Lepisosteus oculatus: one gene and its partners. The protein of the gene in region 3 purifies or fractionates together with the protein of the main gene of each other region. This does not show direct contact. Links are inferred from orthologs where the notes say so. Each region holds a gene or a part of one and is shown on either strand. Other genes may lie near its edges.

What was found.
Region 1: the proteins of mtmr2 (region 3) and sbf2 purify together in Homo sapiens (affinity purification with mass spectrometry; 3 studies listed by BioGRID and IntAct, with this or other methods). This does not show direct contact. The link is inferred for Lepisosteus oculatus from reciprocal best matches to the Homo sapiens genes MTMR2 and SBF2.
Region 2: the proteins of mtmr2 (region 3) and mtmr12 purify together in Homo sapiens (affinity purification with mass spectrometry; 5 studies listed by BioGRID and IntAct, with this or other methods). This does not show direct contact. The link is inferred for Lepisosteus oculatus from reciprocal best matches to the Homo sapiens genes MTMR2 and MTMR12.

Annotation. Positions count from the first base shown.
Region 1 is NC_090716.1:9,379,300-9,387,345, forward strand, and holds the start of sbf2 (myotubularin-related protein 13), read left to right. Parts: upstream 1-5,015; 5' UTR 5,016-5,127; coding exon 5,128-5,182; intron 5,183-8,046. UniProt on the Homo sapiens protein: Guanine nucleotide exchange factor (GEF) which activates RAB21 and possibly RAB28. Promotes the exchange of GDP to GTP, converting inactive GDP-bound Rab proteins into their active GTP-bound form.
Region 2 is NC_090698.1:39,907,015-39,915,028, reverse strand, and holds the start of mtmr12 (myotubularin-related protein 12), read left to right. Parts: upstream 1-5,005; 5' UTR 5,006-5,129; coding exon 5,130-5,198; intron 5,199-8,014. UniProt on the Homo sapiens protein: Acts as an adapter for the myotubularin-related phosphatases. Regulates phosphatase MTM1 protein stability and possibly its intracellular location. By stabilizing MTM1 protein levels, required for skeletal muscle maintenance but not for myogenesis.
Region 3 is NC_090700.1:12,220,478-12,227,560, reverse strand, and holds the start of mtmr2 (myotubularin-related protein 2), read left to right. Parts: upstream 1-3,978; 5' UTR 3,979-4,156; coding exon 4,157-4,233; intron 4,234-4,929; coding exon 4,930-5,032; intron 5,033-5,613; coding exon 5,614-5,637; intron 5,638-6,283; coding exon 6,284-6,359; intron 6,360-6,735; coding exon 6,736-6,830; intron 6,831-7,083. UniProt on the Homo sapiens protein: Lipid phosphatase that specifically dephosphorylates the D-3 position of phosphatidylinositol 3-phosphate and phosphatidylinositol 3,5-bisphosphate, generating phosphatidylinositol and phosphatidylinositol 5-phosphate.

The DNA of each region.
Region 1 (8,046 bases), on a different chromosome or scaffold from region 3:
TAGGGCAAATAGAGCAAAATTCCCCTCCTCATGGGTGCTACAGCAGAGCTCCACTTAGTGTTGCAACTACAAGTCCAGAACCCCTGAGGATAATATAGTGGAAATTGAGCATTGTCCACACTGAACAATGACGATGATGACACCAATCAGTGTAACATACCAATACAGTGAATCATTTGCTTGTTCGCAGAAGCTGTTTTTGGAATGTGAAATATGTGGTGTAGATTAATACTTCCTTTCCAATCTGAATTTTTTTTCCCTCTATGTTTTCTGCTATCTCTGTAGATAAACATACTATGCTTGGATATTTGAAATAGGAGGGTAAAGCTTTCGGCAATCAGTGGAATCCATTGTCAAATGCACTTGCAGGCGAGGAATGAAGAATCCGAAACATTAAGTGATTAAATCGGGGCAATGAGAAAAATCAAAGCCCTCACTTTCTGTACTGACGCAGATTTGTATGGCAATTCTAGCAGCATAGCATCTAACAGTACATGATCACTTCATCACAGTTGTTCTCTGCATGCTGAAACAATTTGTACCACACACGTTAGCGCTCCTAGGTTACGTCAACGGTTAATAAATAATTGTATTTACTGTATAATGTTCTTTCATGTGCTGATAAACAGACACTACAAAGCACACATTTAATCTTGGTTTCTGGTAATAAAAAAATGGTCAGGTAAATAAATGTATCAAATGCATCATAAGCAAAGGTTACAAACAAGATGAGGTTGCTAATAGCTTATTGATCAAAGGATCTCAGACAGCCATTACGTGAAGAATAAAAATAATGTTACATAGGCATAGTGCATTTGATCTCATAGGATGCCAGGGTGCTTCATAGTGTATAGAAGGAGACCCACTTCATCTACCACTGAATGAAATGGATCTCCTTCTATATGTGATGGACCTTTGGATCAGTATCTTGTGCTGAAGTGCAGCACCTGTACTGGGATATGTACTGTACAGCACCCATCATATACTGTACCAGAAGCCCAGTTGAATCAGTTGAATTAAGGAGACCTTTAGGGACACCGGGCTGTGCAGGAACAGAGGGGAATCCAACCATCACCTTGGAGTTCACAATCCTACTCTTCTGAAAAATGGCAAAGGATCCTTGATGGCCAAGTATTAAGGACACCTGTTTAACATCTCTTTCAGAGGATGGTACCTCCAACAGCCTGGTGACAGGGGGTGTACAGTACTTTAACTAAATTTCAGGAGGCTTGTACCAGAATCCTGCAGCTTGAAAAAAAAAACCCATCTACATGTACTGGAATATTAGATGAATCAATTGATTTGAAAAGAAATGGCTCTCAAACGTAGAGTTTCCTTTACGTCACTTGAATAGTGACACAAAGAAATCATGCTTAATAATCCTGACAGGATTGTTGTTGGCTTGATTACAACTGCACTTGTACTCATTTATATTTCAGTAGATTTATCAAAACGCTGAACCTTTATCGGAGTATAAAAGTATTCTATTAAAATAAGAAGTATTCTAAACCTTCTCTTCACAGTCCTGAATTTAATCCTTGCTTTAACTCTTAAATTAATTGTATATTTACACTAAGGTTACTGGACACATAGCAGTGGTTCCTGTGTTAACAAATGACACCATGACCTTCAATATTGGTTGAGATGGAAAGGAGGCAGATCCTTCCTTTTCTGGAGGATCTGTTCTGAACTGAACCAATTAAAACTTCAGCCAGGCCCCAGAGTAGCTGTCTGTATCATCTGAGTAAATAAACTATGAGAAGAATGGCTCTCTGGAGCTCTTTTCCTGGTAAATTCCAGTGTAAACATTTTCAGAGAATGTAAAAGATAACTAAGCACAATCTTCCTAGAAATATCATGACAGACACTTAAAACCAATCATTTTCTTAATTAATTGAAAAGTGATTGAATTATTGAGGTAAGAATGATAAATACACTACATTAGTCTAAATATTTATATTTGCTAAATTCAAAAGACAAATCACCAGAAGACAGAAGCATGCTGAAACCCTTTCTAGCACAATGCTGAAGGAGCAAGAGAAGAATTTCATGATACAACAAAGAAGTGTTTATTCGTTCAGTCACAAGCACTGTAATAGTGCAAGCTAACAGCCCGCTTTTTGACTCTCTAATGTTTAAGAGCTATGCATGATTCAGCCCTAACAAATTTAAGTCGTTTTAAAGCTATTCAGTTTCTGGCAAAAACAGGAGAAAAAGAGAATCCCACTGCTCCAGTGTTTTTCCACACCACTGTAATGTTTGCTATTTGTGTTTGGCAGAGCCTTCCATGGCCCTTCTGATATAAATGCTGCAGAGTTTAGAAGAGTTTCCTCCTCCAGCATGGCCAGTCTCGTGTGGTTGCATTTTAATAAGTGCAAAGACGTGGCATCCAAAGGCTCACTTTAAGAATTGAATTACTGTTTTACTTGTCCAGCATTTGAACTCGACACCACATAGTGTGAGATGGTGTAATGAGTTATAACAAGCCCAATAAATATGCCAGCACCTATGTCACCTTGCAACTCACAAATGGCAACTCACAAACTCACTGAAGTTAGCGCATGTGAGCCTGGCCAGTATCTGGATGGGAGGCTCCTGGGACAGCTGAGGTTGTGGCTGGAAGAGGTGTCAGTGGGACCAGTAGGGGGAGCTCACCCTGAGGTCTGTGTGGGTTCTAATGCCCCAGTATAGGTGACGGGAACACTATACTGTAAAAACAGCACTGTCCTTTGGATGAGACATAAAACCAAGGTCCTGACTCTGCGTAGTCATTAAAAATCCCAGAGAGTGAAAAGAGCAGGTTGGTAACCCTGGTGCCCTGGTCAAATCCACCTTGACCTTTACCAGTCACGGCTCTGTTCTCCTGCCCACTGAGAGCTGGTGTGTGTTGAGTGTTTACTGGCGAACTATGGCTGTGTCACATCATCCAGGTGGGGCTGCATAATAGTGGTGGTGGAGGGGAGTGTCCAGAAAAGCTCTATTATTATTATTATTATTATTATTATTATTATTATACATCAAGGTGAAATGGCACTGAAACTGCTGCTTAGTTTGCCCAGCATATTATTTTCAGGTCAGTTATCAGCTGTTGATATGTTTATCCTAGTTTCTGGCTTTTTGCTGTTGTTCTTTTTCTATTTTGAAATTGCTTTGGGTTCATATTCTCCCAGTTGAAATCTCAGAAATCGCTCTTCCCACAGATTTGTAAATGTAAAGTTCCAAAAAAAACAGGAGGTTTTTACAGAGAAATGAAGTGTTTTTGTAGAGTGACATTAAATGAGGGATAATGACAAATCCAGTTTAACAATGCCCTTCCTGTGTCCTGGCATTTTATCAATTAATGTTTTATCTTATTTCCAGACTCGTAGATATTGCTTTTACACTTCTCAAGGAGTCCTTAGTCGACCTCAAACCAGAAAGCCAGTCCGTGTTACTTTTGGAACTTAATATACCAGTAATAAAAGTGGAAAGTCAGCGGATGACAGAGTTTTAGGTATGCTGTTAAAAAAGCTTCAAAACTCAGGTTTTAGCATTTTTACATTTCCTAATCCCAGTTGTGTTCATCAGGAGCTTTGTCATTGTCCGAGCATGTATGAAAGTGCTGTCAGATCTTGCACCGTGCTTGTGCTACTACACGTGTACATTGAAGTGGTAAGAAAATATTATGGTGGCAGAGGATGTTTTTTATTTTGTCAAAATAACCTTATGATTGCTATGCCAATAAACTTTATTAGGTGTTAATGTCCCAAAGGAAACTTCCCAGCAATAAATCAAGGGCTGATTTAAAGGCCAACAAAAACAGGCTGCCGTCTGCAAGGTGCTGAAGCTGAGGAAGTAAAGGCAGCAGATGACAGGCTTCCCTAAGGCTGATCATTACACATTACACGCTTTACAAGCACCCACAGTGTGCATACAAAATGTTTCACAAATGTTTATTGTGGTATGCTATGGTAAAAGCATGGTAAAACAGTTGTAAAATTGGGGGTACTGCAAATTAAAGTAAAGTAAATGCATGCAATGTCCTTGGGTATTGTCACGGATCGTATTTACTGTGGCTAACCCCTTTAACAAAAAATTAGATTGTGATATGAGATATTTACTCTGTAAATGACAATATGAACTGTACAATTTAAAGTATTTTTATATCACGGCAACTGAAGAAGAACATCTGTAGGCAACCGTTAAAAAAATGTGGAACCTGTAAGTATTTAAGTACAAAGGGTTTATTGTTGTTAGTTACCTAGAGACGTGTCATTGACGACCAGCAAAGGTTTTTCTTAACGATATTAAAATAAACTGACACGGGCTCCTAAACATTAAAAACATGTGTGAAAACCCAACTCTCTTTTGTGCCAAAGCCATGGGATATTTGGCCACAAAATAACTAAAAATAAAATCATAATTTTATGGTCCTGTCAGAATGTTCTACGTTGCATCATTAACGCAGGAGAACTGGAAAACAACGATTTGCTTTAAGTTAAAGCACGCATATGGCACCAACATGGTCCACATACACCTGCTTTTTAAGACGCCGCTTGCTTTAGCATTTAACTTGTACTAAACAACATGCAGCTGCTAATGACTTGCTAAATAATTGAAGTCATCCTTTCACTAAAGAAATGTTATTTTGCTCGCCAAAACATTTCCATGTCCTGTCAATGCCCCAACGACACCACATTTTTACGGCAGCCTTCAATTTAAACCAAAGTACTTTTAAAAAAAGATTTTAAGGTTGGCCAGCGCAGATATTCCAGAAAAGGAAGCAATTAGTCTTGCCTACTGTAATTACATCTTGCGTTTCCAGCAGGAAACGTTGTTTTAACAAATCAATGCACAGCTAAAAACTACCCTAGTATTCTTAACGTTTGCGCTTATTTACAAAATGTGACTGTGATCGCTAAGTGTTTTTTACATTTGTGGAGGACGGCGGGTTGCATTTCCTTTTTCTGCAGAGCCTGTGATTATACAGCACGAATTTGTGTTTGTAAACCCAGACGGCCCACGCCCATACAGGATCACTTACAGCACACGCAGGCGCACTGCCCTTACTTGTGTCAAACATGGCTGTGCTTTTGGAGAAAGAAAAATGCTGAATTGTCTTGGTAGAGGTCGTAAATCGAACCAAACATGGCGAGGCTGGTTGATTATTTCATTGTCGTGGGATACGATCATGAAAAGACTGGTGAGTTTTCGAAAAACGCAATTCTTTACGTCCTGGAAACACCGGACTGCTCTTGCGAAGGGGGGATTCCTCAGGCCGTGCAAGTCAGTGGGTTAATAGGATACTGTGGTATCCAGATTGGATGCTTTGGCACTACGTTACAGTGTATTGTGTTTTGTTTTTAAGAGGGGTTTGTTTGTTATTGCTCAGTGCTGTAAAATGTAACTGTACACCGCAGGCAGGAGGAAGAAAAAATTGTAAATATAGTTTTTTTTTCTCTTCTTTTTAAGTAAATGAAACTTTACTGGAACAATTCAGCCTGTCACATCCTGAATGAGTAATGAATGACGTGCAGAGATTATGTTTAACAACGCTTGGAATTGACCATAGTAAGACAATAGTGTCTGTGCTTACTAAAGCCCATTCTTGGTAAAACAAGTAATGTACGAAATGGAATTTCAGTCCTTACGTTTTCTAAATACAGTTACTTGTATGCCCACCTACTGATTCGAGGATCTAGGACTGGTATAGCGATAACAAAATAAAAAAAAATGATCCTCTATAATTTGAGCAAGGTACTGTATATAGCTAAATTGACATATATTTAGTCGTGAATTGGGTGCATTTTTTTAATTTTGAATGTCTTTCTTTGTGATTCATTTTAAATGCTTTGCTCAGCATTGTATTTGCAACCATCATTGCCTACTGCATCTTGCGGATCATTTAAAATGATCTTCACGGCCCAATAGGTTTTAGTTGACTGAACTGGGCATGTTGGCATCGTGTAAATACATAGATTAAAATATCGTTGGCGTTTTGGTAGAGGATCGTTCTATAATTTTGGAAACGTTTCCTGTTTTGTGCAAGGTAGCCACTCTTTTCTGTGAACAAAGACGAAAACAGGTACAGTATGGAGGAAAAAAAACAGGTAGCAAGGCCACAGGTGTTTCCAGTGTCATTAGCTAACGGTTTCTGGATTGCTGATTAGATCAAGCATGATTTACCTACAAAACAATAATAAACCACACACAGGCTTTCACACATTCACTGAAAAGCAGAATCCGGAGAAGCGTGCACCCCAAATCTTATGTGCTCTGGCGTTTTTATGTAATCGTCTTAAAGAGCATGATCTTATAATCATGGACACGCATGACACTTGCTTGCAGAAGTCATCTGTCGGTGTTAATGGGTTGTGGCGATGGAGATGCATGACAGAACCTTTGTAAACTTAACTGTCGGGATTCCCTAGGATAGTTAATGTGAAGCACCGGTGCCCGCGGGGAGTTTAGGATAGGAATTGCTGAGGTCAGATTGGAGCAAATTCAATTGTCACGGTTTTTTTGCTGTTAGTTTTAAAGTCTGCCCTGAGTGGTTTGCCCCTGGTTTGACTGATGAATCAGTTTTGCGTCGTGTCCAAGCTCTCTTTAATTTTACAATCTAAACACACCGTTAAGAGTTTGACATAAAATACTGTAACACGAACTGTTAGGGAATTAAATCATCGGTGATTAAAAAGCACTGCCTGTTGTTTGGGGGGGGGGGGGGGGTTATTATGATATTAGATTTTTTTTCTTTTGTAAACAAGAACAGCAACATTGAAGCAATGCATTTTTATTAACACATCGCCGTGTCAATTTCTTAAGAGGTTGTATTTGTGTGTGATCTAAATCCCAATAGTTCTGTTAACTACCATGCAGGCATAATATACAATATCTGGCATTCCTTGTCTACGTACTGCACGTTTGACATTTTTTCTTTATCTGGTTTTAAGTGAATTTGACAGGATGTGGTAGAACTCTTGAGGTTTCAGCGTAACAGTCAGAAGTAGCTGTGGGTGTTATAGAATCTTTTTGTGGTTTTAAATGTGTCACATTTTTTTAGATAACCTTAATATTCATATAGGAAACAAACACCTGTACTTTTATGCTATTGTTGCTGAACGTTAAGAAACCTCCAGTTTATAAAACTGTTTTGATGATTTACATGGCACCATTTAAAACTAGAAGGCAAACCTAAGCACAGCACACCTAATCTAGACATAAAAATAGCTGTATCTGCAGCTCTGCAGATGCAGTTAAGCATTTATAGTAATTCCATTTGCCTATAGCCAAATGCCCCTGCTGGAACTACAGGAATCTGTCCTAAGATGCAGAAGAATTGTAAAAGAAGGAATCCAAGTAAAGGAGTTTTTTTGATTAACCGGAATCAGCAAGTTGAAATTCCAAAGTGAGATTATAGCAAATTAAAACCCCTCAGTGTCACATAAAAATTAAACCCATTTCACTTTTGGATTAAATCTTAGTTCTTCTGTGTGAAGTGCTTTCGGATCGTTTGGGATCAAAAGCACTTTACAAATGCAAGGAATCAAGGAATTATTATTATTATTATTATTATTATTATTATAGTCCACAGGTATTTTTTCAATAATATTTAAATAATATGGTGGTGTGTTACGTGTGAAAAAAAGTGGGAATTTAAAGGTTAATTGTTCTTTCCAAGTGTGTTTGTTTAATCTCAGTGTTTCTTAGTGCCCCCTTCCTCAGTCTTTCTTTCATGCTCAACAGAAGCCATGCAGAATAAAAACCCTCATCAGTTATTCTTTGTTGAACCATTACAACCATAATCAGAAATGACCGGGTACATCTGAACAAAATGGTCATTGTTACTGGATTACAGTAATCCATTTCAAAGTTTGAATACTGTACATGGGTCAAGTGGATTTAGGAACAAGTCTTGTTCTTGTCACTGATAGCTAAAGTACTGCAATAAAAAGAGCAGTTTGCTTTTTGGTCGTTCCTTGTGGCACATCAAACAGCCTTTTGCCTTGGAGGATGTTTTTTTCTCCCTCCCTAGGAAAGAGGAAACAAGTACTTAACTGAGAAAAT
Region 2 (8,014 bases), on a different chromosome or scaffold from region 3:
AAAAGCACCAAAGAAACAAGGTGCAACAAACCTTGTTTTTTGTAAAATTACAGGTAGGAAACTGAACATATAAAACTAATTTGGAAAAATCAGTTTGCAAGAAAGTTGACAAGCCATTCTACTAGACCAGTGGGAAATTGTTTTGCAATGGTGATAACACTTATTTTTATTTTGTGATGCAGACTTGTTTTTCCCATTTGGTCTGGCTTGTGTTCCACCTTTCCAACTATTTTGTCTCCTTTTAGCCGATTCAAAGTCTTTTCCATTGACTAACACAACATAATTCTTACTGCAGAGCTTCATGCTGCTGTGACTTTTTCCAGCAGCAGAGGAATTCTGGATCTACCAGATGGCAACACATCCACTATCGGCCATTTCCTTGTACGTGTTTCGTTTAATAAAACAATTGTTTGTAATAACTCATAGCTGAACCTTGTGGATATAACCATTGTATCATGTTTCCTTTTATTTGGGTGCAACAAGAGCAGCAACATTCAAGATCTCATTACAAAGAGTATTTTTGTGGGTTGATAAAATACAGAATTCTCAGAGGTCAAATAGCTGTCTGCAGAAGGATATTTCATGAAGTATTTACTCTGAAACAAAGGAAATGTAAAAATTAAACAAGGTCAATAACAATGGCAGTTGCAAAAAGAAAATCCATGCCACATTGGGTGGATATGACAAGGCATTAAGAGAATGTCACTTACAGGTCACATTTTATTAGCAGAGTAAAAATCAAGTTTGTTTCAGAAAACCAGGTGATGAAGGAATGAAACAGAGCTTAAAAGCAATACAAATTGATGTAATGTTCACCAAGAAGAAATCAACATTTTTTTCAGGATATGGGACAAAGCTCGATATCAAATAATACTAGCAGATGCGTCAGATGTGCTGTTGGTAATAGAAGCTCTTAAGATGAATATATCTCCAGGGTCTTATGGTATTCTACCAATTATATTTAAGAAAACAAGAGATGCAGTTCTTAAGTCACTGAAGACCGTGGTAATTCAGTACCCATTAACTGAGAAATTGCTAATGATAGGCCCATTCATTAAAATGGTAACAAAAGTGAAAAATTCTGTTATGCACAACATTATGGAAATGATAATTAGTATTAAAATAAAGGATAATCAATGTGGAAGTAGGATCCTGGGGGATATACAACGCAGGTTAAGAAAAGGTTTTTGTGGTAGGATGGTCTATAGAGGGGAAGCAGTATCAACAGACCTGCCACTAGAGGCCTCCAAAGGGCCTAAAAAATGATAAAATAGCTTTTCATGGTCTGTTATTATATTACCGGTTAGAGCCATGACAGCATTCTCAGATGGGGTTAATTAGTGATTTGTTAATGTAAGTATATGCAAATGTGGGTATTGGTTGGGTTGAAAGTATTGAGGTTAAAATGCCAGCTTAGTTTAGGGGTGTTTTTTTTAAACTGCTCAATGGACAAATTCTGGCCAAAGATGGAAATTACGGTACAAAACCTGAGTGCTGTCCAAACATCCTGGGACACTTTGGAGAAGAAAAGAGAGTCATTAATGCGTTAGAACCCAACCCTGCAGCACAAGCAATGTGGCGGTGCATTGGGAGATCGGGTGCCCTATAAAACTGCCACGACCTTTGGATATTGTGTGAAAGGGGCAGGGGTCTTGCTCGTCACTGGTTTGAGGCAATTGAAAAGCATTCAGAATAGCGTGGAGTTGAAGTTGCTGTGGCGGGACTGGAGTGCCCCATGACTTCTTCAAGACAGCCTGCAGTAGTACCAGACGTCCCCAGCCCTGAGAAGAGAAGAAGGCTTGCCTGTATTCGCCATTCAAGGGGGCAAGGGGTAAGGGGTAAGGGTTCCACTGCTCACGGACTCCAGTAAACAAATCTCAGACCACTTTCCTCTTCTTGCGAGGGGTACTTGCACCCTAAAACATTTTCCATCTCACAGACAAGGACAGAATGCTCAAATTGGAGAGATGCAATTAGTGGAGTACAACAGGCGTCTGTATTAGGACCACAGCTCTTCCTAATTTATATACGTGATCTGTATTCTAATACAGTTAACAAACATGTGACATTTGCAAATGATACAAGAAACAAAAGGATTAACAATTGCAGTAGACCTTGAAACGGAAATTCAAACATTTAAGATTTAAAAATAATTCAAGACTCAAAAAACACCAAAAACATAACATTTAAAATACAGAGTACTAGAAAAAAACATAAACTATAGCTTTATAGTTATTCATTATATATATTTCTTCAATACAAAATATTAAACCTGGGTAAATTACTTCTAAAAGACTTAATTGTTTACAGTATGTTGACTTTGAGATAATGCGGAGAAGCAAATAAAAAGGTAAATGGGAGATACTGGGAAAATCATAGAATTTAAATCAAGGCATGGTATGCAAAATTGTACATCACTATTATGACTTCCTTTAAAATATTGTGCTCACTTTTAAGGACCGTGTTATAAAAAGAGATTTTGTTGCTTTCTCCAGATAAAGAACAACCAGACACATTTCTGGGCTTAAAGAAATGTCCTTTTAGTCTTTAGACAGAGATGACTATGATGGGACAAATGTTCAAATCTACAAAGGCATTGACATACAGTAGTCAACCCATATGGCTTCTTGAGAATTAACAGTGAACTCCTGTATGAACCAGAGGACACAGGTGGAAACCACCTGAAAGTGAATTTAAAAAAGAACACAAGCTTTTACCCAGGAGAAAAATAAGAGTCGAGGATGTGTGAAACAAGCTACTGAGATGTTATTGAGGCTGATTCCCTCACGTCTTTCAAGAAAAGGCTGAAAAGTATATTTCAGAGAAGGATTTTGGTCTTTCGAGAAGTCTCTACCTTACAACACCAGAGTTAGAAAACCTGAATCAGCAAATTTCAGATTAGGAGTTGAACTATAAGCATGAAAGAAACACAAAAGTTACGCTTTTGACTTTCTTGTCTGATTTATTGAGTGATTATGCTTTATATGTAAGCAATTTATTTAGTATAGGAGTTACTTAGTGATACAAAGTATTCAGTACACAAGCTGCATAATTCTGGACATCCTGAAGCTTTTAAGGCAGCCTTATGACCTTATTTTTTTAAACTTCCCTATGCACTAATGACCTTGAGAGTATGATATAGCCAAATCAATATCATAAAGTACATTCTTGTACACATTTTTATCCAACTCATCTGGGACAGGTGCTGGGGAAGCTTCTGATCAATCCAGAAACCAAACTAAGGGCTGGTAAATCAATAAGATAAATTAACTCCACGTTAACAGATAAACAATAAACAGCCACATAATTACATGCACGATTAAAAGAGAGCTGGAGAGTTTCTAGAGGCCTTATATGTAATAAAGGCATATCTCCTGTTATGCCACATTCTCTAAACTCCTTCAAATCCAGACTCAAAACCCTCTTCTTCAGAAAAGCCTTTACTTGCCTTAACTGGTTCCATTCTTCACCCCTCTGCTTTTCTTAGTACCACCATCCACAGTCTCCTCTATATATAGTAATTGTGTTTTATCTTGTGTATTCTTCTTATTTATTGTTCTTGTCATCCTGTAAATCACTTTGAGAAGCCACCTTTAAAGGCACTATATAAAATAAAGTTTATATTATTATTAATTATTATTATTATTATTATATCAAGAAGAAAGTAACAATCTGTATTCAAGTTCATATATTTAATTCATTTTGGGACATAATAATTGGACCCTTACCTCACAGGAATTCCTGACCCATCCTCCTATTTTCAAACCACTTCCATCCAGTACAGGGTTGCGCGGGAGTCAGGTCCTATCCCAGCAAGCAACAGGCGTAAGAAGATTTACGCCCCAGACGTGTTGCCAGTCCATCACAGAGAATTCCTTATGCTAAATTAAATTTTACAATAGACAGAGAATGGAGATTTGAAAATATTGCAGTGTTTTTAACAAGGTTTCTAGGACTACTTGAACTCAGAGAAAACAAAAAAAACAACAGTAACCTTTGAGATATGCTTATCTGCCATTAAAACATACTTGTATATAGATAGTTCACCTTAGAATGAAAGAATGGGCCTCTAATTTACCTTACATCACCTTATATTTTGTAAGAATGATGTAAGTGCACTGTCTGGCCTCCACTTTTTTGCAAACAAATTTTCAGATGTTTGTTTTTAAATATATGATTTAATTGGTTATTTTCAGAAACGAAAAGTCTACAGCCCTAGGATTTTTGTTTCCACATTTTTTAACAATGCAATACTTTAAAAAACACATCACCAAGTCTAAGACAAAAATAATGTTTTTAAAATAGACATACAGCTAAAGTTATGAAATATACCAAATATTGTAACCATGTTTATTAACGTTCTTTTATTTTCCATTTTAATGTATTATATTGGAAATACATTTTGTTAATTACATTCCGCATAAATGGCAAGAAATGTCGCCGTGATAATATGTGCTTATCAGCTCCTTTTGCACTTAGAGGAAATATAAATTCCTGAAATGGTACTTTACATACCGTTCACCGGATGCGAAAGGAATTTTTAAATTATTTTTACTTGTTTAAGTATAAAACTACATTTATCCCTGAGTCCTTCTTTATAATGAAATGTAAACTCTGGCGAAAAACTTGTCAGACATAAGCTGTTTTTGAGTCTTGAGCTACTCGTCCGGTTTGGCACAACTGTTTCTCCGAATTTACTTGAGACCGCTTTAGGGCGTTTTGTCTGTTGATATTCCCCAGCGCAGATTCTCAACGTAATAGCCCTTTCGAGAACAGAGGAGGAGGAATGCTACCTATCTAGCGAAGGAAAATGAAAGATTACGTAGCAGAGTGAGTGATACAAAAGCAATTCTGCGATTAGAACAATTGTAACAGTAGGTTCGCCCTATATGGAAAAAAGGAAGTTTTCTGCACAGAAGGGGCTGTCCAGCTGAAATAATTGACGCTTTTTCTACCCAATAGCTGTACGCGACCTAGTGTGGCCCCTATGGCAAAATGGAGTGTTCTCTCAAGCGAGGCAGCCAATGTGACAGCTGGAGGGGCGCGGTTTGAGCACGGTACAGGTTATTCCTGTGTTTGGCCAGGGTTACACCTGGCTGAAGAGAACAGATTTCCTCAAAGTTATCAACATGTTGGGTTTGGGAAGCGGAGGTGTAAAATCTTCAAAGCCTTCGTTTGTTTCATATGTCACCCCGGAGGTATGCATTTATTCTTTAAAAATACGTGTATCTAGATTGTATTTGTAAATGTGATTGTAAGGGAGGCAAAATAAGACAACGTTCGTCTTATTGATATTTTATTATAGTTAAATTCTACTTTTGCGCGGGGCTGCATTATAAAGTTACCATCTGCCAGTTGTTTTTTTAAGAAAAACTGAGACCTGCACTCAAAGTTACGATATCGAAATTCAAAATATAAAGCTCAGGGATACATCGCCCGTAATAACCCAAGAGTAGGTTACTTCCCTCATGTTTTGATGTTTGCTCACAACATGGCTTTTGTCAAACTGCATGGCTATACGTACTGTAAACTACCTAATCTAATACTTTTTATAAAAATGTGAATTAGTTTATCCTTGTGCTGTTCTCTCTTTATGACCGCAACTGTAGATCTTTTAGGTAAGGTTAAACTGAAATTATTGTATAATTGTAGACATTAAATGCCCCCATAACCTAAATATTAAAATGTTAATCAGGTTGTACTGTGTCATCATGAAGTTGGATAGTGTAAAGATGACTTGAGCGTCTGGCTGTGTAAACGTGATATTTGTATTTAATTTGGGATTGACTAGTCTCTCTCGTTGTGAGCCGGACGTACAGTAAAGTTGTACAGTGAAACCGTAATGTAAAAAGGAAACTTTTTTTTGCAACTGAATTTTTGTACTGTGTTTTTCTGTATGTTCTGCGTGCGTTGCGGAGCCTTAATTAGTGTATACTTATTCAAGGACAAGTATAGAGATTTTTCACGTTGTTTAACCTTAAGGGAAAATATTTCCACAGAATTCGAGCATTTCTATAGGAAGTTTCTCAAGGAAGTAGGTCGAGAGATTCTTCATGGAAATAAACCAGTTTCTTATTCATATCTTTTAAGGGTTCAGGAGAAGAGGACGCGAATTCTCATAAATGTGATTATCATGGCTTTGGTCGGATACTTTCCTGCGGTTTGTTAAAGTGTGGTAGATTCATTCTATTATGTTATGTAATTATGTTCATTTAGTAGTTAAGAGTGTTTAAGACTTGACCTACACAGTAATAGTAAATATAATTGATAGAGGAAAGAAATCGAGTGTATTTTACTTATGGTAAGTTGTTTGAAGCTCAAAAATGTTCTGGGCAGTAACCAAGAACCCTAACCACTACTCCACTCTGGCACCCTTTACTCAATTGAAGAGCATGCTCTGTAAAACGGGCTCTTAATGAGTGGTGAGATTGTATTTGTAGTCATGGGATTAAAAACCTCCATTTCCCGAAAGTTGAATGTTTGAGATCTGTAAATAATCCTGTTCAATCAGAACTTGAGATAGAAATATTATGGTTTAATTTTTTAAAATGTGACTTGTGAAGGTCCTGGGTGTCCTTTGCAGTTCTGCTAAATGACTGAAAATAATTAGCAGTGTATGTACCTGATCTTTGTCTTATGAACATGTAACCTGTGTTGGAGGGTATATGTTTCATTTCTTCTGTTCTCGAGAAATTCTCAATATAGTCGCAACGTTCAACAGAGGAGTTCCCCATCCACTCTGGTCCTCGTGTTGGCAGGGACATTGCAAGTTTTTAATCATTTTTTAGGCCTAATCAGTAACTCAGACTCTAAGGATGTGCTGCCAAAAACAAAAAGTCTGCCCAGTGAAAACGCAGGAAATGAATTCATTCTCGGTGCATTGTTTTCTTAAAAAGAGTTTATTTTTCCTTACTTGTGCATTCAGGGTATGACATCGACCCTGAGCATATTGAGAGGAATTTAGAAATGCTAGATAAAGGTTTTTGTTATCTGGGACAGAAAAGGGGAGATTGTCATGCCATACAGTATATGGGGACATAAAGGGTGCTTTGAACTTCATTGTGCTTCAAGTCTCTCCTTTTGAAAAAAATATAGAACTTTTTTTTTTACTTTTTTTTACACCCACTCGATAAAGAAAACCTGTTTGAGCACCAGGTAGTTTTTTTTTCCTCTGCGGATGGACGTGGTTTCACTTATAACCTCTATTCCCCTTCAGGGAATATTAACTACTGTAGCTCAGTTATTTAATAAAGAATCAATTTTCTTTATATTAAAAAGACAATTTAATATAAATTTAATTTAATATAAATTTAATTATATCAAATTTATTTATTGATCCTGCTATTTAATAATTAATAATAATTGCTTACACTTATATAGCGCTTTTCTGGACACTCCACTCAAAGTGGAAACTCCCCTCCACTACCACCAATGTGCAGCATCCACCTGGATCATGAGACGGCAGCCATAGTGCGCCAGAACGCTCACCACACATCAACTATCAGTGGGGAGGAGAGCAGAGTAATGAACCCAATTCATAGATGGGGATTATAAGAGGACATGATTGACGCCAGAGTTACACCCCTTCTCTTTTCGAGAAACACCCTGGGATTTTTAATGGCTACAGTATACAGTACAGTGTCCCCATCACTATGCTGGGGCATTAGGACCCAAATGGACCGCAGAGTGAGCACCCCCTGCTGGCCCCACTAACACCTCCTCCAGCAGCAACCTTAGTTTTTCCCAGGAGGTCTCTCATCCAGGTACTGACCAGGCTCACACCTGCTTAACTTCAGTGGGTTACCAGTTGTAAGTTGCAGAGTGATATGGCTACTGGCTTACTGTGTACTGTGAGGGTTGTTCCTGGCTTAATCAGTCAAAGGAGGTACAATGTGAAATTAAATGTGTTATCAGCGTTTTTTAACTAATTGAGAATAGCAAATTGTTATTATTACCCCCCTCTGTCCTCTGGTTTGGAATAGCCAATCAGTTTTTTTTCATGTCTCAGCTTGCA
Region 3 (7,083 bases):
TTGTATAAATTTGTAAGTGCTTGAAGTGAATGTCAATTATTTCAGAATTTTCTTAATGTTTTGTTTACCTGAAAATATTCAAATATGGTAACCTGTCATAAAACATGGAATTAAGAACACTGTTTTTATGTGAGGTGTAGCCTTTTTTAATAGATGTATTTGGGTGGCATAATTTTGTATCCCACTTGAGTTCCTGACGGAATAGAAGCATTTCAGAAACCCACAAGAAAGATTTGCTTCAGGGTTGTCTCCAGATTGGATTTAATTAAACTTTATCTTAAAGAAGCAGCCAAATAAAAAAGAAAACACGTGATTTAGTTATATAACTGCATAAGTTGTAAATTTCTTTTTTCTCTGTCCTTGTGTTGTCATTTGTACATATCTCTGTAGATACTGTAAAGGGAGTCTGTATTGGATCATTTCATTGCCATGTTAAGGACTACATTCTCAGAGAGGTGCACAAGCTGTGGGATACATGTCTTCTGAGACAGAACAAAGGCAGAGGCAAATGAATTTTTATCTAAATAAATTTCATACATTGAACAAAGCTGTGTCCTTCCCCTTCTTTTTAATAAATTAAAAAAGGTTAGAGTTGTTTAGTTTATGTTAGCAAATACTTGTCCTTCTGTCAAAATTTCACCCCAACACCATCTTCATACAGTTCTTTACAGAAGCGAGAGAAATAGCCTTTTGAAGGATTCCATATAGAGTTTTAATTTACTAAGCAGTAGTTAACCTTGAAGATTACATTAAATTAAATTTGTGTGTCATCGTTAACATCATTACATGCAATTTTGCAAGCTGTTATTGTACCTATACTATGCAGTATATGTATCCTGGGTTTGTGAATTATATTGGTTTTCAAATAATGCTAACTTATTGTAAGAGAGCATACTTATTAGAGTTTTAAATGTATTTTTCCCACATGCAGAATTTTGTACCCGCTTATTATGATCATCATTAGCTTATCACTTCCAAACCTCCAGTAAGAAGGATATAACCTACAAAGACTCCAGTAAAATCGATTTCCGAGTTTTAAAATCCACATTGCTCCCCTTGAATCCTCAAAGTGAAGCATGATCTTTTTAAGGAAAAGGAATTATGATGGCAGTGCCCCCAGAGACTGAGCTGAGATTTCAGTGGGTAGGTCATTCCACCACTGAGGAAAAGCAGAGAGGGGAGTATAAAGTACCAGGAATACTGGGAGTATAGTTGTGGTTAAAGAGAAAATGCAGAGAGCATGAGAGAAGGTGTAGGGAGAGATAAATGACTTAAGACATTAGGTATTACTGCAGCAGAGTTAGAAGAGCAAAGTACACTGATGATCTAAGCATTACTAGAGAACCATTTTCTTTCTTCTTTATTCAGTGGCCACTCTCCCAGCACTTTACTAGGATTAAGAAATCATGGAATGGAATCGATTTACTTATCCCTCCCCCAAACAGTTAAATTCAATAGTACTGCTCTGCACACTGGTAGTTTTACAAAACTTCAGCACCATGGACAGCTCTTCAGCCTTGCCTGTGAAATTTCGTTTTCACGAAGTGTTCCTACGGTACATTTTCATGCTGTCATTGTGACAAGCACTCCATATCTACTGTAGATCGAAACAAGACAATAACATTGATAACAATGGGTGTCTGTGTGTAATCAACATGAATTATCAATAGGTATGACGGACTTTGTCAAAACTGATGCATTAGCAGGTGAGAGATGGCACCCCATTGTTTTCTTGCTCAAAACCTAGGGTTATGAAAATGTCTTGTTTTGCCTGCAGTGGTAAACACAAACACATCTTGGTATAAGTATCTGTCCATTTTCTATCCACATCTTGCAATTCTGGCTTATGGTGGAGTTGGAGCCTATCCCAGCAAGAATATAATCTAGTTTTATTTGTATGAACCCTGCATTGATTCAATGTATTTAACTTATTTTTTTCCACTAACTCACAATTTTTGGAGGCCAGGAATCAGCACAGTATACCCCACTATACTTTAAATCTTTATATGTTAATGTGAAGCAATGCTGTGATTGTTATGCCAATATTTAGTTTCTGTTGCCTACTGCTTCATACAAATTCAGTATTTGGAGCAAATGACAAATGCATATTCATACATAGCAATGTACAATGCATAAGCAGAAGCTATTTGATGTATTTAATAGTTAAATATTTTGATGTTATTTACAGACCTCACAAGTAGTCTGTCTACCTGCAGTTTATAGCCTCTTTCTGGGCTCTTTTTACATAATACAGGGGTAGATTAGAATAGATGGAATAGATCAATCAGATTAGATTATTCCTAGGGTTCTGTTGTTATTGAATTGTTTTATGGATGTTGCACATTGGTGGTGGTGGAGGGGAGTCCCCATTACCTGTAAAGTGCTTTGAGTGGAATGTCCAGAAAAGGGCTATATAAACGTAAGCCATTATTATTATTATTATTATTATTATTATTATTATTATTATTATTATTATTATTATTATGCTACCTGAAGACAGATTGAAATTGCCTTCTCCATGTCATATGAACCACGAAGCTCAGTCTCTGATCTCTGTCTTGCAATCTAAGGTCATTTGGTCCTGGCTTAAACTGACAGGTTTTGAATAGTTCTATCTTAATACAGGGAACATAACTTCTTCATGAGGAGACATACTGTAATTTTGAGGCTTTTTGTCATCCTGTTTAAATGAAATATGATGTTCTTGACAAATGTTCTAGAAATTGATTTATAATGGTAATGGACCTAACTGGTATTAAAGGGTACATTATCCTTATCAGATTAAGTATTATATTACATTAAGTATAAAATAGTTACACCAGCAAGGTAAGTGAATCCAAATATTTTATTTCTGACCGAATACTACAAAATTATTATTATTGTTTAAATGGTTTAAACTTAGGGACATTTGACTTTGATATCTGCGGTGTCTCTTAGTTATCTAAAATCACCATGGAAATGGAAATGAGTAATCGGAAAGCAAGGATATAAAGAATATTGTTTTTTTATTTAACTATTGTATTTTAATATATAGTATAGTGCAGTTTAGTTGTATACTATTGGTCAATATGGGGTCCTGCCACATGTTATAACCTGTTTCTGAAAAGTCAGAAAACCTGTTTTAAACAGCTCAGCGCATGTATTACTGGGTTTAATAGGTACATTGTCATTGTTTCAAAACCTCATTTGTAAACATTTAACAATTTTCAAATTAATATATTAATTAAAAGATACAGTAATAATGACTTATACACATATATGTCACATCTTTCTTTTTTCTCATGACTTTTTATTAACTTTAATTTGTAAGAATCTGGTGAAAGCCACACAAGTATTTGTAACTATAATAGATTATTATTATTTTTATTATTATACTATTAATAATTAAGTATAATGTAGTTTCCCAACAGAACGTCTTATAAAGCATTCCAAATACATGAGATTCTCCCCAGTGCCAGTGGAGTACAGTGCCCTGATGAACTACACCGAACACTTTCCTAGGTTACATTAAAAAATTGCAAGAAGCTTCAAGTTTAGTGTACGGATGTTTTTTTTCCGTGGAAGAAACAGGTTAGAAATGCAAAGTCGGTTTTAAAATACTGCAAAGAAATCATACATTTCTAAATGTAGCAATTTTATAATATTAAATTGTATGCCAATTTCGCATTAATTTTACATCTTCGAAAATAAGTGACTTGCGTACTACAGTATTTATACGAAAACTACAGTATACAGTAAGCATGATTAAGACAAACGAGGCGGTTTTTCATTTGCTCCATACAATACAAATACAGTAACTTTTATTATTTAAAATACGAACAAAAACCAACCAGAAATACAGTGTTTGTTAAAGCCTACAAAACAACACGTTTGTTATCAGTAACTGCAGTACCACTACACTGTACCAACACAACTCAGTTACACAGAGCTCCTAATTTCGATTCCCTTTTTCTGGGATGTAAACAATCCCCACCCCTCACTTTTCCAGGCACTCTGGGTAAATATGGCAGCTTCCTGTCTGCATTACAGCTTTCTGCTGTGCTAGGGTCCATTCTGTTCTTTAATTTTATTTCTTTCTTATATTTCTGTTACTTGAATTTCGTTCTGTTCTCTAGTTTGGCATTGTATTCAGAGATCATAACGAAACATAAAAGACATGGAAAAGAGTGGAAGCACCGATAGCCTCGGATCCAAACCGTCCTCCAGGCAGCCCAGTGTGGATTCATTATCCAGGTGGGGGAGCTCAGCTACGTACAGATTGTTTTTGCAATGTCATAGTCTGTAATAACAGCTGTTATCCTTCTGGAACACTTAAATTGTATTTAACCGTACTGAAAATAAACCATTGCAATGCTCATTTCTGAGATTTCCAGATGTTGTTCTGTTCGTTACGGTAGCTGTAGCATCGCGCTCACCGCAATTACTGTCAACTTGGATAAATCATTACAGTACATCTTCACTTCCACAGGCTAATCGTCTGCGCGAAAATAACGTTCTCTGCACTGTGACATTTTGAGTAATCTTCCTTATTTTTTTAATGAGAAGTAAAATGAGTTAAAAGCCCTTTTAGTTTGGCTGGTCCCGAAAATTGAAATCTGTCGCCACAGTTAGTCCGAAAAATCGAAAAGCTATAATTAAATATTTTTAAAAACATGTAAAGGAACTTCTGGGCGTTTTTTTTAAAGAGCAGTGCTTAATGTGAGGATTGTTGTCATTTCTTAATATTAATATTGTTATTAAAAGTTTCACAATTTGTCTTTCAGAACGCTCTACACTGTAGAGGCCCTTTGTAGTGGTGGTGTAGTTCTAGTGTTGCCGCAATGGTTATTGCTTCACAACTGCAGATTTTAAAAAAAATTGTAAGGGGGGGTCTTTTATTTTTTACTCAATAAATCGCTGGATTTGGACACTGGTGTCTTGTACCCGCAGCACGTCCACCTCTCGCTCAGATCGTTCTTCTCACACAAAGCAGCCCCTGACTCTTTCGTCCGACTCCGTGTCCACTTCTGCAGAGCTCTCACCAGAGCACCGGGTGTGTACAGTATATTGCTGAGAGGTACTCGTGTGTACACTCCCCGAAAGTCAGGGGGAGGGAAAGTTCATGAGGACCTTTATGGAAGGTCTTGTTAATCAGCTTTTTTCATTCACATCGCTTCTTTTTTTTCTTTGAATCTTTATTCTTTTTTTACTTTTTTTTGTGTTGTTCTGCTGTAGGCTGAAAATAAATGAAATACTTTGAGCTACTTAGAGGAATTGCTGCAAGTCTTGTAATTGTAATTTTCTGCCTTTATTGTGTAACAAATATATAAATTGTTCAGCCTTGCATGTTCAGGATGTTTAAAGGGAGACTCGTAATAGGATTTCCAAATCCAGTAGACAAAAACCTTTTTGTATTACAAGTGCAGAAAATTCAATGTACTTTTAGTATTGTAATGAAATTTCAAAGGTAATATTATTGTCATTAAATCTGGTTTCAGGCTTTAGGTTTCTAGGCATAAAAGGTCAAGTAGCACTTTAAGTCTTACAAGTCAACACTCATGATTGTTTGATATTTTTATGCTGATATTCTCATCGTTTCTTTTAGATTTACAGACTTTTTTGTTTTCTCAACAGGGTAAAAGCTTTCTGGAGGTCAAGGTAAAGCACTCAGTGGTTCATTTTGACTCTTTGCTGTCTAAGGTCTAAGAAGTGGTTCTGAAACAATCTGGAATGTTCCAGTTCTGAAATTCTCAGAACTGAAAGTCATAGGTCTCATGTCCTGGCACATGAAGCCAATGATACCAGTCTTCCAAATACAGGAATATTTAACTATATTAATTGGACATTATAGTTATTACTGAATTTCACTGTTTTCAGCCACCTGCCTCCTTCCTATAGGGACACACACCTTATGCTAGAGATACATAATGCTTTGTAATATATGAGTTTTGTGCAATTTAAGTAAATGAATGGAGCCATTTAAATTGGGGATTACTCACCGCGTGTAAATCACACACTTTGTAAGTGTTACACATTGCTAAGTCTTTACTATTTCTTAGTCTGTCCTCTTAATGTGGTGGTATTGTGATGTTGAACGTGCTGGTCAGTGGTAATGGTACATTTTCTAAACTCTGCCTTGATGCTGCTTGTTTCGTGATTTTAATGCGTTGAGATCCTAAAGTAAATTTTTTAGAATGGTTTTTAGAATACCTTCTTTGGGACAGTGTTCGTCTGCTTTTGCTTTATGCTCTCAACGTGTGGCATGCAAGCTTTGTGAATGACAGCGCTCTTGTTTTGACAATAGGTGCTAAGAGAGGCTAGTAAATTGGCTCAACTGGAAGAACCTCAGTTACTACCAAAGGAATCAATACAGGATATGGGTAGGTCTTCCAGTGGGTAGCCTTCAATTTGGACATCTTTTAAAGATGGTGACTTAGAACTGGTAATGAATTGCTTTGCAATTGGTAATGAAAATGCCTTTGATCTCTCTTACTCAACATTTATTAGCATGTTACCTCTGTTTTTTGTATTAGTATACTAGTAAAAAAGCCCATATTTTCTTTCTAACATGGGCTGATGTGCTAGTTCATGATTGCCTCTGCGAATTCTATACCTTTTATGTGCTTCACTACAAGTCCTTCTTGGGTGTCTTCACTTATATGTTTTGAAATTCCTGTTTCATTTCTTGTTGAGATTTTACACATTACGTTGTTCAAGTCCTTATTATATCCTGCTTTGTGCTCCTTTACTTTGCAGCTAAAGATGTCACTTATATCTGTCCCTTTATTGGTGCCATAAGAGGAACGCTAACTGTTACTAACTACAGACTGTTTTTCAAATGCATGGATCGGGTAAGATTGGCTCTTTTTTATAAACTTTTGTTTTTCTGTGTTTCCATACATAAACATAAGAATAGAAGACAGAAAACCATTTAGCTTGTTTGTTAGTAGCTATGGGAATATACAGTTTAATCCATCTTCCATAGAGAAGCCCGCAGCTCAACTACCTGGCTGGTACTACTGTTCCACACACTCACAAATGTGTAAAGAAGTGTTTCCAGTTCTCTGTTCTTTTTAGTAACCAGCTATGACCCAGTGCCCTTGC